2 linked regions of the Cricetulus griseus genome follow. The protein of the gene in region 2 purifies or fractionates together with the protein of the main gene of each other region. This does not show direct contact. Links are inferred from orthologs where the notes say so. Each region holds a gene or a part of one and is shown on either strand. Other genes may lie near its edges. The genes, in order: Cops6 and Dcaf1.

Region 1 (4,431 bases), about 98 Mb from region 2:
GCCTGTTGCTGTCATCCGTGCCACATGGTCTACACCGATACGTTCAGCTTCCTCAGTGGCCAGTGTGTACGTGAGCTCAGCAAACAGCATTGTAGCCTGCAGAGCAAAGGGTTCCCACATGAGAAGAGTCAGAATCGGAAACAAAGGAGCAGATGGCTGCACAACCCTGAGGATCTGACTTTAGATCCTCAGAACCCACAGTAAGCTAGATGTGGTAAGAATGTGTCTGTACCCCCAGCACTCCTACAAGACCAGAAGTAGGGCACAATTCCCAGAAACCCCCAGGCAACCAGCCTGGCAAACAAGATGCTGTCTCAAACAAAGTAGAAAGTAAGGATGGACATCCAGGGTGGTCCTGTGACTGCATACATGTGCATGGCATGCAGGAAACAGGCTAAAAGCAGGAATTGAAGGTTGCAGGGTAGGTATTACCTCTCCATTGATTATATCGATGACAGACTCAAAAACGCTGACAGGAAGCTGTAAGACAGATGGAGACAACTCTTACTAAGAGCAAATGCACTTGAACTTAAACATGTGCCAGGCTGGCCTGGAACTCACAATCCTGCCTCAACCTTCTGAGTGCTAAAACTGATTAAAAGTATGTGGACACACTTGGCTCACCTTTTCAATTTTCCCCAAAACATACCCACATTACATATGAAAGTGCCACTTACAAGATGACATCATAGAATTGATGGGTAACTAGCAGCATGGTAGACATTCAACTCAAGCATTCTCTAATACAGATGATGTCACACAGTAAATTACAGCAGAGCATGAGGATCAAAAGCAGGCAGAGTGGTAGATGATAAAGACAAAGGGGACATAGGGTCAGCAATACTCACATCTGTGTGCTTGGTCATGGGGTTCAACTTCAGAAAGAGGGGGCTCTCAATTATCTCGCACACCTAAAAGAAAAGAGAAGGCACCCCCCAAAAGTCAACCTTTCTTCCTCTTATGTTTGGTTCTCTTCCCCAACATGTACACATTTGAACCTGTATACCTGCTTATGGACGTGGATGTCGGAGGGGTCAGGCGGCCCCCCTGTGGTATACCAACCCAGAAACTCCAGCTCCTTGAACACCTGTTTAACTGAAGAAGGGGCCAATGTAAACAATATTTCTTTAAACCGCTCTTCGTTTCACTGACTTTGGTGTATTTCTTTTTTTCCTCACCAGTTCTTCCCTCCCTCCTCAAATTTTGGCTCAGTTTGGAGTAACTACACTCTGCCATCGCTCATCCTTTACTTGCTGAAAATAACCTTTTATTTCTGATCTCCTGTCTCCATCTCCTGGTTTATATGATACTCGAGGACTTAACTCTGGGCTTCTTGCATGTTAGGGCAAGCACTATACCCACTGTCCTACATCCCCAGCACTTTTATCTTACATTTATCTTAGCCAAAAGGACGAGAAGCAATGCACTTTTACTTAAGACCAACCCAACCCCTGCCCCCCCAAATCTTCCCACTTCACTTCTCTTTCCCACCCACTTGTATCCCCTCTCACACTGCTCCTCCTTGGTGTAGTAATATTCCTTGTCAATGATAATCTTCTCTTCCACGGTGTGGGACAGCAGCTCAAAAGAGTTCATCACTTCGATATTTCGCCCCTCCTGCTTCCCGATTAAAGCCCCAATCACTGAGAGGAGAGAAGCACACCAAAGATAGGTGAGGGAACAGGCATCCAAAATCTTTCCTCATAACCCAAGACTCTGAGGTCAGTGTGAATCAATGATTGAGGGAACTAATTTGGAAGAAGTGGGAGGCGAGGGAAAAGTGATTGGAGGAGGTCTCCAAGAGGAGGGTTTGAGGTCTACACACAGCCCTCACCCTGCATAGGCCGCCCCTCCTGGGAGCGCATGCGGATCCAGTGGTCGGAGATGTTGAGGATGACAAGGGGATGAAGAGCGACGGAAACACTCCCAGTCACTCCAGAGGCCATCACGCTGGGGGCTGTGAAAGGTAAAGGAAAACACAGCGGTGAAAGCTCGGGCCCTCACATTCTCTCCTAGACATGGGAGTAGGGGACCGGCGCAGCCGGGCCGTCCATCCCTGCCCGCAAGTTACGCTGGGACAGCTGTCTGTCGCTTCTCCCGGGCTTAGGTAGTACTCAAGATACTCCGCAAGGGCGATGCCAGAAGTCGCTCCGCACAGCCCGTTACCTGCTGCATCCACCTCCATGCCGCTGCTGCCTCCGCTCCCGTTCGCAGCCGCCGCCGCCATTTTCCCCGCGCCCGCCAGCCACGGCCCGCCCCCTTCCTTCCCGGCTTCCGTCGGCGAGCGGCGCATGCTCAGTATGTGCTTGGCGCTGCTAAAGGGCGGGGCATCTGCCAGTCCTTGGTAGTCCTGGATGTCCAAGAGCACGTCGTACTGTGTTGCTGTTACCTGTTCTCAAGTAACCTAGCATGGCCTTGAACTCTGTATTGTGTATCTGAGGATGACTTCCACTTTGATCCGCCTGCCATCACCTCCCAAGTACTGTTATTACAGGTGTGCATCAACAAGCCCTGGTATTTTATGCTCAAAGCGCAGAGTCACTAGGCCTTGGGTCAGCCAGAAGTCACTGGAGAGTAGGGCTGTTCGTTTCCAGCGCTCAGTGGGTGCATTGTATGTACTGGAGCCAGAAAATTGCAACCAAAAGGAAGCAAGGCTGTTAGCAGGATGTGGAAAGCAATTTATTCAAGATATTAAACTTTTTCATGTTGCATATAATCTGTATGCAGGAACTTGGTCACTTGTTTGTTTGTTGACATAGGACCTCACTGTGTAGCCCATCTGGCTGGGAACTTGCTCTTAGAGCAGGCTGACTTCAAACTCACAGAGATGCGCCTGCCTCTGTTTCCTGAATGCTGGGATTAAAGGCGTGCGTGCGCCACCATGCTCAGCAAGCCTAGCTTTTGTGTGTGTGTTGGGGATTTAAACTCAGATCCTAACACATTATCATTGAGCCACCTCCTCAGCTGTGACTGCTCTTGAACTGTTTAGCTGCTTCAGTGGCAGGGCAACCTGACTCCTTACACAACTTAGTGACTGCTACTGGGAGAACTTTGGGCACACAGTGGGATGGGTGCCAGGTGAATCTGGGGCCACACTGGTGTGGTATCTGCTACTTACTGGCAGAACCTCTTCAGTAATTGTCTTAGGGTCTCTATCACTGTGAAGAGACACCATCACGATGGCAAATCTTATAAGGAAAACATTTAATTGAGGGGGCTCACTTACAGTTTCAGAAGATCAGTCCATTATCATCATGACAGAGCATGGCAGTGTGCAGGCAGATGTGGGGCTGGAGTAGCTGAGAGTCCTACATCTTGCAGGCAACAGGAAAGTGACTGACAGTCACACTGCAGGAAGCTTGAGCAAAAGAGACCTCAAAGCCCTCCTGCCCACCCCCTGCCACCCACCCCACCCCCGCCTACCCAGTGACATACTTCCCCCAATAAGGCTATATCTCTTAATAGTGCCACTCCCTTTGGGAACCATTTTCTTTCAAACCACAACACAGTGATCAAGCAACTTTGTAGAAGTCTCCACCACTTTTCTGGCAGAGGACTCTAGCCATCAAGCTGCCGCCAGCAAATCACATAAGAGAAGCCTTTATCCTGCTTGATTGTACCAATAGGGAAGGTGCAGTGTTGTGGTGGTTTGAATAAGAATGGCCCCTGATAGGCTGGAGAGATGGCTTAGAGGTTAAGAGCATTGGCTGTTTTTCCAGAGGTCCCCGGTTCAATTCCCATCACCCACATGGCAGCTCACAACTTGTAACTCCAGTTCCAGGAGACCTGACACCCTCACACAGGCATACATTCAGGCAAAACATCAATGCACACAGAAGTAAATCTTAAAAAAAAAAAAAAAAATGGCCCCCATCGACCACCAACGCCCGGCTATGCTATAAACTTAAAGCGGTTACCATTAGAAGAAAAACAAGACAAAGAAACGTTAATGCTAACAGCAATTTAACACTATTTTTAAAATGCTTAACACCTGTCTAGGGCCCAAGGAGAACTAGGTCCCCTTCATCTGTCTCAGAATGAATTTTTCAGATGTTAGTTACACATGGGAGATGATTTTTATTTACTTACTTATTTTCAATGTGTGTTTGTGTGTGTGTGTTTGCGGGCATGTGCACACGCGCTGACCCAAAAGCTAAGAATATCATCAGATAGCATATGAGTCCTATAGAAAAGCTTACTTCATAGCTGAGTGCTGGTGGCGCACGCCTTTAATCCCAGCATTCGGGAGTCAGAGGCAGGTGGATCTCTGTGAGTTCGAGACCAGCCTGGTCTACAGAGTGAGTTCCAGGACAGCCAGGGTTACACAGAGAAACCCTGTCTCGAAAAACAAAACAAATAAAATAAACAAATCTTCTTAAAAAAATCAACTGAGCCGAACCTTCAGCCCATGATGCTCATGTATATTAACAG
Region 2 (3,814 bases):
CTTACTCTATTTCTCTACCTTTTGTGATTGTGAGTGGTCATGGTGGTGTGGTAGTAACATGAGAAAACGATTTGTGTGGCCTAAGTTACTGGGAATGGATACCTAGTTTAGCTGCTTCTTGAGGGAAGAATGGTAGAGGCCTTTATGATAAACAAGAGGATAATAAAGGAAAGGATTTGAATTTTATATAAGGCTTAGTCCAGCTCTAGGTGTTGAGAAGAGGGTAAATACCTGTTAATGGTGCCATTGACTTTATCTCTTCAAGTATGCAATTGCAGGCTTGTATTGTCTGTTCTGGAAACAGGAGGGGAGCTCTAGCTCTCCTGAGGCTGTCTTTGAGGCCCTGGGTTCAGAAATATGAAGACCATCCCACTTTTGTGGGACTTTCTGTCCTTAAAATAGTACAGATTGTTTCATCCTGAGAGACTGGTGGGAATTTTGAGCAGGAAATTAACAAAATTTAAACATTAAAAATTGGGTGTTGTGGTGCAAGCTGTAATCCCAGCTGTGGGGAGTCAGTGGGTTCAAGGCCAGTAGATAGCCTATCTAGAGCCAGTGAGATGGCTCAGCAGGTTAGGGCACTTGTTGCCAAGCCCTGATGAGCAGAGTTTGATCTCTGGGAACCATATGGTGGAAGGAGAAAACCAATTCCTGCAAGTTATTGTCTGACCTCCACATGTAACACCATAGCCACTCACGTAATAAATTCGTGTTTTATTTTTTTGTGTGTTGAGACAGGGTTTCTCTGTGGAACTTGCTCTGTAGACCAGGCCGGCCTCACACTGACAGAGATCCACCTGCCTCTGCCTCCCAAGTGCTGGAATTAAAGGCGTGCATCATCACTGTCTGACTACTCTACTATATATATATATATATATATATATATATATATATATATATATATATATGAATGAGGGTGGTTCTCTATTTAGATGACTCTATAGAAGTTAATATTGTGTTATGAGATTTGTGATGTTTTTGATTATTCCACTGTAACATGTGTCCTTACTGTTTAGCACCTAGCATCTCTCCTGCTCCATAACAAATTTGCCACAGAATTTGTTGCACATGGTGGAGTACAGAAATTACTGGAAATTCCTCGTCCTTCTATGGCTGCAACTGGTGTATCCATGTGCTTGTATTACCTGTCCTACAACCAGGATGCTATGGAAAGAGTAAGTCTAGTCCATTCAGGTGATGAGAATGGGATTTGATGGGGACCATCTCTTTAAAACAGCATATTCACATATGAATGTTTGGATAAGAAGAAGAAAGAAACAGTTGACAAGATGAAATTCTTATGAAAGACATGAAGAATAAGGATGTATATCTCCATAAAGCATCCTAAAATGTGAAATGGTTTAGAAAAAATTGACTCTACTGAGAAAGTGCAGGACAGATGTTTTACCAGCTTTATTTGTTTTTTTTTGTGATTTTTGTGGCATTACAATTAATAGGCACTTTTCATTTGTCAACTGTATTATATTTTAAAGTTAATTTATTATAAAAACTATATATGCTTTATATATGTTAAATAATTTGTGTTGGAGATAGTGAACTAATTTTAGCTGTTCTCATTCTTAGTTTGAGTCTTTTGTTTTTCCATTAAGTCTTTTATGTTAGTGATCATTTTTTAAAAAGTGAGTGGGCTATACATTTGAAAAGTGATGCTTCCCCTAGGTGTTTCTAGGAGAGGGCTTATCATTTCTGTACCAGGAACATTTTTCTAATATTTTGTATTGTACATGACTTTTTAAGTTAAGTATAGCTCTTGATTGTCTTGAGTGTTGTCTTTGTCTTTGCTAATTAATTAAGATAACCAATAGTTAAAATTTTACTTTTTGTGAATAGTAAACTATATGCTCAAAGTTAATTATGACTAAAATATAGAAAATAGTACCAGGCAAACCTAGGTAATGTTTGACGGTGTTTAATTTATAGGAAGCATACAGATGTATGAATCAGTAGAGCAGCTGATACATTTGTAGACTTAGTATCATCAGTAGGCTCAGCCACTTAAGAATGTCCTTGCTGGGCACGGTGGTGCATGCCTTTAATCCTTGTAGTTGGGAGCCAGAGGCAGGTGGATATCTGTGAGTTTGAGACCCATCTGGTCTACATAGTTGAATTCCAGGCCATAAAGTGAGACTGTAAAAGGTCCTTTGTAGCAGGAGTTCTAATTGGTCTTAATAATAAAAACCTCGAGTCAGATATCAGGGAGTGAAATTGAAAGGTCAGAGAAGTAGAGCTTTCAGCATTAGCGCTCTTATCTCTATAAAATTTCCATACCTTTGTAAAGAGTCCGAGCTACTGTCTCCTGCCTTATATTCCTCTGCCAAGCCATCTTACTTCCTGTTTGTCTGTACAGACCTCCAGACCTCTGTGATTAACTTTTCTGATCATCAGGCAAGGTTTATTTGTTAGAATACAAATAAGATATCACCACAGTCCTTAACGTCTCTGAGCATCTTATAATTGTTAAGCAAGATGTGTATACTTTATGCACCTAGTCATTTAGAAGCATTAAATGATATATTTTTGGCTCTTGGTAAGTATAGGTTGTACTTAATTAAATTTAGGTAGTTTTCAGGTTTGGAATGAATTATGCTCTAGAACTGATTTAGAATGATCACTGTATTCTGTAAACATTTCTGTCTACATTGGACAATTTTTCATCCCTTTTAAAGAAACCTTTGCTCCAAATGTTAAAATATATTTATTTACTTTTTTGCAGGTTTGCATGCATCCCCACAATGTTCTATCTGATGTGGTGAACTATACCCTATGGTTAATGGAATGTTCTCATGCTTCAGGATGCTGCCATGCTACAATGTTTTTCTCAATTTGCTTCTCATTCCGGGCTGTCTTGGAGCTCTTTGACCGTTATGATGGTCTTCGTCGCCTGGTGAACTTGGTGAGATTCTTCCACTGGCTCTTCAGTTAGCTGTTAGGAGTCCTGTTTATTTTGGCTATTCTGAAAGATACCACGTAAAAGAGAGGAAGTCCCCCTCCCCCTTTCTCTCCCTCTCTCTGGCTTTTGTGAGAAAAGGTAGTTTCATTATGTCACCTTGTTTGGAACTCCCTTTGTAGACCAGGCTGACATTGAACTTGTATCTAGTTTTCTGGCTCTGCTTCCAAGTGCTGGGAGTTGGATTGCAACTGTGGGCTACCACACACTGCAATTGGTTAATTTTGATCTTTTCAAATGGCAACAATTTTAGGCTGGTGTATTTTTGCTTTCCTTTCTAGTTGATTACCTTTTTAAAGATTTTACTCAATTTCATTTTATGTACATTGGTGTTTTGTCTGTGTTTGTGTCTTTGTGAGGGTGTTGGATCCCCGAAACTGGAGCCACAGACAGTTGTGAGCTGCCGTGTTGTACTGGGAATTGAACCTGGCTCCTCTGGAAGAGCAGCCAGTGCTCTTGCTGATCTCTCCAATCCTTCTTTTTTTGATTTTTAAGAAAATTTTTCTGTAGTTCAAGAGCCTTGAATTTGCTATGTAGATTGGCTGGCCTGAAACTTGGTATTTTCATGCCTCAGCCTCTCAAGTGTTTTGCTACAAGAGTACACCATCATACCTCATCTTCTCTATATATTTTAATATGATTAGATGATGTCATTTTTTCATTTCATATGACTGTTAGAATATGAAACTTGTCAGTACTGTTGAATATAAACATTTACCAAATGTTTTTTTTTAATCTTTTTACTTTTCTGTGTGCTCTTTCCCCATCTCCTTTGGAATCTTATACCTGTTTACTAATAGATCAGTACTTTGGAGATTTTAAATTTGGAAGACCAGGGTGCACTTT

Evidence for each region.
Region 1: the proteins of Dcaf1 (region 2) and Cops6 purify together in Homo sapiens (affinity purification with mass spectrometry; 7 studies listed by BioGRID and IntAct, with this or other methods). This does not show direct contact. The link is inferred for Cricetulus griseus from reciprocal best matches to the Homo sapiens genes DCAF1 and COPS6.

Annotation. Positions count from the first base shown.
Region 1 is NC_048597.1:116,889,300-116,893,730, forward strand, and holds the start of Cops6 (COP9 signalosome complex subunit 6), read right to left. Parts: upstream 2,875-4,431; 5' UTR 2,294-2,874; coding exon 2,167-2,293; intron 1,958-2,166; coding exon 1,835-1,957; intron 1,644-1,834; coding exon 1,512-1,643; intron 1,096-1,511; coding exon 1,007-1,095; intron 912-1,006; coding exon 849-911; intron 481-848; coding exon 433-480; intron 97-432; coding exon 1-96. UniProt on the Homo sapiens protein: Component of the COP9 signalosome complex (CSN), a complex involved in various cellular and developmental processes.
Region 2 is NC_048597.1:215,060,276-215,064,089, forward strand, and holds part of Dcaf1 (DDB1- and CUL4-associated factor 1), read left to right. Parts: intron 1-1,016; coding exon 1,017-1,175; intron 1,176-2,734; coding exon 2,735-2,914; intron 2,915-3,768; coding exon 3,769-3,814. UniProt on the Homo sapiens protein: Acts both as a substrate recognition component of E3 ubiquitin-protein ligase complexes and as an atypical serine/threonine-protein kinase, playing key roles in various processes such as cell cycle, telomerase regulation and histone modification.